2 linked regions of the Arabidopsis thaliana genome follow. The protein of the gene in region 2 interacts with the protein of the main gene of each other region in a biochemical or structural test. Each region holds a gene or a part of one and is shown on either strand. Other genes may lie near its edges.

Region 1 (3,755 bases), on a different chromosome or scaffold from region 2:
CGGTAACTTGCTCGCTCTTTTCTCTTCAACAAAACCACACATTTTCTTCTAGCTCTATTCAAAGCTTTGCTTCAAACTCCTTATAGGTCTCCAAAGGTGTGGAAAGAGTTGCAGACTCAGATGGACTAACTACCTAAGACCTGACATCAAGAGAGGCAAATTCACTGTACAAGAAGAACAAACCATCATTCAACTCCACGCTCTCCTCGGAAACAGGTGACTCAATCACAATCTCTGCTTTCAAACCAAATAACCAAGTGATTGCTTTGAAAGCAAATTGATCGTCGTCCTTTAAATGTCATAGGTGGTCAGCGATTGCAACTCATTTACCAAAGAGGACAGACAACGAGATCAAGAACTACTGGAACACACACTTGAAGAAACGTCTGATCAAAATGGGGATAGATCCAGTGACTCACAAGCACAAAAACGAGACTCTTTCGTCTTCCACAGGACAATCAAAGAACGCAGCCACGCTTAGTCATATGGCTCAATGGGAGAGTGCAAGACTCGAAGCTGAAGCAAGGCTAGCTAGAGAATCAAAGCTTCTCCATTTACAGCATTACCAAAACAATAACAACCTTAACAAATCAGCAGCTCCTCAACAACATTGCTTCACTCAAAAAACATCAACAAACTGGACTAAACCAAACCAAGGTAAGGGACACATCGTCTTAAAAAAAACTCTCAACTTTGATTGGTTTTGGTAACGTATCAATGGAAAATTGTGACAGGAAACGGAGACCAACAGCTTGAATCTCCGACATCGACGGTGACATTCTCTGAGAATCTTCTGATGCCTTTAGGAATCCCTACGGATAGCAGCAGAAATAGAAACAATAACAACAATGAGTCCTCGGCGATGATTGAATTGGCCGTATCTTCGTCAACCTCCTCCGATGTGAGTCTGGTCAAAGAACATGAACACGACTGGATTAGGCAGATCAACTGTGGTAGTGGAGGAATAGGAGAAGGATTCACGAGTCTATTGATCGGTGATTCGGTCGGCCGGGGTTTACCCACCGGGAAAAACGAAGCGACGGCGGGCGTGGGGAATGAGAGTGAGTATAACTACTATGAGGATAACAAGAATTACTGGAATAGCATTCTCAACTTGGTTGATTCTTCACCGTCCGATTCCGCGACGATGTTCTGATCTAAGGGTCTTCAACCAAACATTTTTAATTCTCAGATTGTTTTTTAAATGTCGATAGCTTTCCAATACTTTTTACTTATCTTTATTTTCTTTATAAACTATTATATATATATATATATATATATATATGGGATGAAAATGAGCTTAATTTTAGTATTCGTTTTTGCAGAATTGCATGTAGCAAACCTGCAAATCCAATTTACAATTTATATATTATGCTTTTATGTTGTTGGTATACAGTTTGTTAGAAAAATATTTTAAGTGATAACGTCGTTGTCATTTGGCCAAATACATAAACCATAATAAGGGATCCTCCTTCAAATCCTAATACGTTTTTGTTTTGGGAATGAGCTTTCTTGAAAAGCCTATCGGCACAAAGATCCTTTTTAGTATCATTGCTTTGTTCGAATTTAAATTACTAATTTTGGGAATAATTAGGCGCTTTAACTATTGAGTTATAGAAGTTGAGCTTTCCTTAATCTTATATTGATAAGATGTTTCAAAATATAGGATTGGAACCACTCCATAATTCTTTAAAGTTGCTGAGTGCAAGCAATTGAAGGAAATAGATATTCATATTACTTATCCACCGGTTGTGGAGTATTTTTGTCTAATTTTCAAATTTTTCTATATGAGAGATGTCTGAACGAAGAGGCTGTAATTATAACAACAACACGTTGACATGTCGAGTAAAAGAAAGAAAATTCAATGCTTGGTTGTTTCATGTCCTTTTCTTTATCATAAATTTATTTATATACAGTATGATCCATAGTAATAAAACACAGATATTACTAATAGATTCGAGTCCACTAAACTTAAGACATTTTTAACAAAAGGTTACATTACATCCATCGAATTTGATAGTAAATCCTTAATCGTTTACTTAATGTGCATGCAAATTTGGGCGTAATAGTAAGAAGGATATGGGCCTGACGTTTGGTACTATTGAATAAAGGCCCATATAAAGCCCAATAATTTGCTTTTCTGAGAAGACGGAGACAAAGGAGTCGCTCTGGTCTTTCATTATCGCGAATCTGAGATTTCGGAAGATTCGATCGATTTGGGGGTTTTAGGGTTTAATCTCAACTGCTAATCAATGGCGCCACCTCCAGGACTTTACTCCGGTACCAGCACTCTTGCTCTGGTAAACCCCGGATCAATTTCTCGATCTGTAGCCTTGACTTGTCGAATTTTGGATTTTGAAGAGTTCATCGAGTCTTTTCTTTTTGGTATCGATTTAGGTTGCTCGTGCTTCGGCTTTCGGGTTGGGTCTCATCTACGGCAACATCAAGCTCAAGGCTTTAAAGGTACATCTCTCTATCTTCCTTGTCTTGTTTTTATCAGATGAGAAATTATTTTCATTGGGTTTCATTTTGACATCCTAAATCTGACACTTGCCATTATAGCAGCAAATTCGAATGTTTATGGCTTTTGAATTATGATATTCTCGATCGAATCATGTGTGCCGTGACTATTAGTATGCTACTTTGCTCCTTTTGGTTTGGTCATCTATACACAAGTAACATGATTCTTTGACCCCAATGTTTCTGCCTGAGTTCTGATCTCCTATTCCACTGAATGATCATAGTTTTGACTTGATGTTTAGTAGAAGAGTTTGTCAATGATTTGCAACTTGATCACTGAAATGTAATTTCTTGCCTTTGTAAAGCATAAGTTTGCGATGTTGTGTCTGGTTTCCAAACCCTAAGAAAATCGGTATGAAAGTAGAGCCTATGTTGCTTCCTTTAGAGCATCCCAATCCTTATTCATTCAGATTGTGGAATCTAATTTTCTACTATGATGTGATTTGCTAATAAGTTATGATGATACCAACAAATGCTTCTTCTTCATATGCAGATAAAGAAGAATTCGCAGATTAAGGCCGAAGCAAAGGCTCATCACTAAACCAACTCTTCTTCTCCTTCTCAATAAGATTATGAAGCCAAGTGATTGTTATCTCTAAATGTAGTTCTTTTCCTCCTTAAGCTATATCTCCCTCGGTGACATTTTTTCCATCTTTCTGTTTTTTTAATCAAAATCTTCTGTCTGACAAAGCAATCGTATACCCGTTTTGGTTTAAACCTGAGTTCTTCTTTGGTACTTTCCTGCTATTCAATAAACACCATATTTTTATCATCTTAACCAGATAAATAATTTATAAAAAAAAAAAAAAAAAAAAAAGAATTTTTTTTGTTTTCAATTAAAATAAATAAATATCCGCCGTGGCGCAGAGTTAAAAGTAAGCAGTTGGCTATTCAGGACGACCAATGTGGTCACTGCTTGGTGGCAAGAACAAGTTGTGTTCGAGCTATACAAGGTCGTGGCTTCGAACATTGGTCACACTCACACATTCGCTGTCTCTCTTTCTCACGTAATAGAGGCATTCTTAAATGCCTTTTTCTGTTCTCTTTCATTCTCTACAATTTATTAAGTTATTTGAACTTATTGTAGAAACCTAAATGTTTGCACCCAAAATTAAAGGTTACAAGATGAGTATCTTCTTTGAGATTTTGAGAAGAGTTTCTCTATATGGCGTTCTATGTCTAGTTTGAATAATCAAATCATCATTTATATTCCCATCTTGAAACTTTAAAATCAC
Region 2 (3,755 bases):
AGTTTATATATTGGTTGACTTTGTGTTAAATAATGATGGGATTATATTAAGAAAAACTTGTTAAATGAATATCAGAATCAATAATCGTATCAATTAGACAACTTGATTAAGATTTGATTCTGGTCAGTAAAATATATGAAACATGCTCCATATGCTATCATATCTTCAATAAAATAAACGAATTGAAGACGAGTATATCGCTATCATGGCAGGTTCCAATTAGTTATCTCCATCCTCTTTTTTGTTTCCACAAAGGAGCCACTTTGTGTTCTTTATTTTTGAAAATGTTTGATTGGTTAATTAACCAAGTGAAGTTGTAATACTATTATGCAAGAATTAATTGCAGCACTCTATGGGTTTCGTAATTTGGTTAATAGTTTAATGGGCCTCGTACAAGTCAGCCCATTGGATATATTTCAGATTAATCGGGTCGGGTCACAAATGATTATCCTTGTTGCCTTGCCTTTGCCAATCGTTTGTTTCCAAAATAAAAATCATGGCGAGACTTTTCGTCTCTATCCCTATGCAACCCACACAAATAAGCTTCCCTGCGTCTTCTTCTCAGCCACTATTATCTCCGCCGGCGAACAATTTCACCGATGGTGGAGCTGGGGGATTATGTCTTACACGGAGAATCAGAGACAGTTCCGTGGTGACGCGAGCAGGGCCTAGTACGAGCAGCTACTTGCTCGCGTTCGCCATTCCTGCTACTCTTATCGCCGCCACTGTCTTCACTTCAATCAAAATCGCTGACAAACTCGACGAAGATTTCCTTGAGGATGTAAGATCCTTCAATCTTCGTCATATCTAATTCAGATTCGATTTTTGTCTAGCTCTCTAGTGTTTTACCTTGCTTTAGGTCTAGTTTGTCTCAGTCTTAGTTTAGGTAATCGTGGTTAAGCAAATTTTATTTGGGGGAAACAATTAAGCAAATGACTAACTTTTGAATTTTGGGTTGAATTGGTTCAAGTTGTTGAATTAACGGCATCGTTAGAAAGTAAGAGATAATCACATCCTCTAAGAGCGCATTGCAATCTAATAGAATTGAATCTATCTCTTTCTGGAAGGAGCTCATTCTTATATCCTTGAGGTGGAATGGATAGAAACAGTGTTATTGTATCATCTATAAGGTCTGTAAAACTAACTGCTTTGTACTATTATTTTTCTGCTTCTGTAGATTGCGTTGAACCAAGCGATAAAAGCAGCAGAAAAGGGAGAGAATGGAGAAGGTGATATCTCACTGGACGATGTGATTCAAGAACCTGTGCTTCAACGAACACGTAACCGGCCTAAACGTGAAGTTTAAAAACGCACACACAGCTTCTTCATGATGGGAATAGACGTTGTAACTGTAATACATGTTGTGTTTTGTATAAGAAAATTTAAGCGTGTAGCCTTTCCTAGTCCCGTTTATAGTTGTAGTTACTGGTTTTACATTACCGTTTGATCATTTTGTAAAGAAAAAACGGATGATGAATCAAAAACCTCATTACAGTTACCATTTTAAGTTGAGAGCAGATTATTTTATTGTGGCCGAGCTTTCTTCTGCTGTAAATTTGTAATTTTGGAAGAAATAGAAGGACATCTTTTGTATGCTTCCATTGACCAAATACTGTTTCGTGTAATCGTCTAATCCGTTTTAGATTGGGCTTTTAAGGCCCAGTATGAGTTGTCTCTTTACTTTTGAAGTAGTAGTGTTTAGGAATTCTTCTCTTCGCTTCAAATCGACGTCTGTGTGAGGTTAAATCGCGTCGCGTTTTCATCTAGCAGTTTTTTTTGGTTCAAACGAACGAGACACACCAGCTAAAGGCCATTTGCGTTAGATCTAAGGAGAGAGCGACGTATACGTGGTTTCAAGCAAATTCTCCACGGGAAGGAGATTAACGAGCAAAGTCGATTTCAGTCTCCTTTGTGGAGTTTTCTCTTCAACGCATCGAGGGTATGGTTTAGCTCAGTTTCGTGATTTCTAGCGTGTTATTCATCGAGTTCCTGTGTGTAATTTGATGATCTCCAATTGTGGTTATTGGAAACGAGTTTGGATTTAGCTTCTGATGGGTTTGTTTTTCAATTGAATCTGGAGATTGATTTTCGTTTAGCTGCTGCACAATTTGGGTCTGTTTTTTTACAAAATTTAAAGCCACACAAGCTTTTTATTTGTCTTGTTCATAATTCTAAGCCACTATATTTGTGTCGGTATCATATAAGTTTTGTGAAATTTAGCTCAGTTTTCTTTGTTGTGATTGGATTCTGCGTCAATCAGGTGGCACGAACCATGGTTATCTAAACTTGGTGGTGATCCACGAAGAGTCATTGTGGGAACAAGAACACAGTGAATCGAATGGACAAGAAAAAGAACCGTGCTGATCCGCTTGCTGCTGGGCGCCAGAAGGTTAGCTTCGTTGTCCTTAAACCTACCTCTTTGGAATTTGGGTAAAGTTGCTTAGTTATCACAAATGTCAGTGAGAAGAGAGAGAGAGAGAGAGAGAGAGAGAGTTTTACCCAACTTGTCTCTACTTGATTACTTGTCCTGCCTAGATTTATATATATATAGATAGAGAAACATTGGATGAAAATGTTTTAATCGCTTAGTTTCGTATCCTCATTTCAGCTTCAACAATTTCGTCAAAAGAAGGCTGACAAAGGCACTGATCAGAAAAAGGACTCCAAAGGCAGTACAAGCCAAGGCAAATCCTCCAAAAAATCTAATAAATCTGAGAAGCATGAGCGTAAACCTGACACTAGTGCTGTCAGTGACGAGGCACAAGCTCCATCCCCTGTGACTGTAGGAGGAGCTACATCTCATGTGAATGTTGCTGAGGAGGTTGTCGATTCTCCACAAACTTCTTCAGATACAAAAGCTCACGAATATGTTTCAGTCCATGGTTCCTCATCAGAGCCTGATGCGCTTCAGCCAGGACACACCACTTCTAATGATGGATCTGAAGCGAGAAAAGAAGTAGTTAATTCTGAAAATGATATCAGTAAATCTTTATCCACTGAAGAAGAGAATGTGAAGTCTATCAACAGTGGAGTGGCTGGCACAGTGGATTCTTTGATATCTGACCCTGCAGATTCTGAGAAGGGAGTTACACATGACGATGCATCTAATGTTGATGGAATCTTTGCTGCTTCTGGAAACATAGCGGAGGGGGAAGGTGTTGAAGTTGAAGGTGGTTCTGGGAATGTGGAAAAGCCGCATCAGCCATCCTCTCTCCAAGAATATATTCCTGATGTTTCCTTGATTCGTGCAAGGGGAGATCAGGTAACTGATGTAGGTTGTTCTCTCCTTCTCTTCATGCTTCTCTCTTCAATCATTTTCTTTATTACCTTTTCTCTGATAAGGGTAAAGAGGTTATGTCTATTGCATGCGACCTTTTGATGTATAATTAAGTTCTCATTTGTTTCTGGGTAGGGGAAATGCAGGAAGAAGACATGGAGCAGTTTTCTGAATTATCTGCAAAGGCAGGCGTGGATAAGATTGCAACTGAAGAAAGGCAAACAAGCTATCCAGCTGTTGTGGATTCATCTGCTTCTCCTTCACACTTTTCAGAGGGATCCTCAGTTGCCTTTGATACAGTTGAACTAGAAGGTATAAATGGTAATTTTAGAAGCCAACAGATTAGAGAAGCTGCAGAGCTTAACGAAGAGAAACCAGAAACATCTATTGATTTTCCTAATAACAGAGATCACGTGCTTTCAGCTGAACCTGAGGAAAGCTCTGTTGCAGAAATGGCCAGTCAGCTGCAATTGCCTGA

What was found.
Region 1: the proteins of AT4G31570 (region 2) and AT3G01130 form a complex in vitro, tested with the Arabidopsis thaliana proteins (one study listed by BioGRID).

The regions. Positions count from the first base shown.
Region 1 is NC_003074.8:44,020-47,774, reverse strand, and holds AT3G01130 (ATP synthase E chain), read left to right. Parts: upstream 1-1,965; 5' UTR 1,966-2,252; coding exon 2,253-2,300; intron 2,301-2,397; coding exon 2,398-2,541; 3' UTR 2,542-2,562; coding exon of another isoform or gene 2,563-2,598; 3' UTR 2,599-2,825; coding exon of another isoform or gene 2,826-2,864; 3' UTR 2,865-2,872; exon of another isoform or gene 2,873-3,013; coding exon of another isoform or gene 3,014-3,061; 3' UTR 3,062-3,730; downstream 3,731-3,755. Other genes in the region: MYB106 (myb domain protein 106), read left to right, coding at 1-2, 87-216, 305-657, 735-1,156.
Region 2 is NC_003075.7:15,294,723-15,298,477, forward strand, and holds the start of AT4G31570 (nucleoporin), read left to right. Parts: upstream 1-1,728; 5' UTR 1,729-1,939; intron 1,940-2,231; exon of another isoform or gene 2,232-2,260; 5' UTR 2,261-2,338; coding exon 2,339-2,389; intron 2,390-2,608; coding exon 2,609-3,275; intron 3,276-3,412; coding exon 3,413-3,755. Other genes in the region: HCF153 (high chlorophyll fluorescence 153), read left to right, coding at 497-781, 1,178-1,306.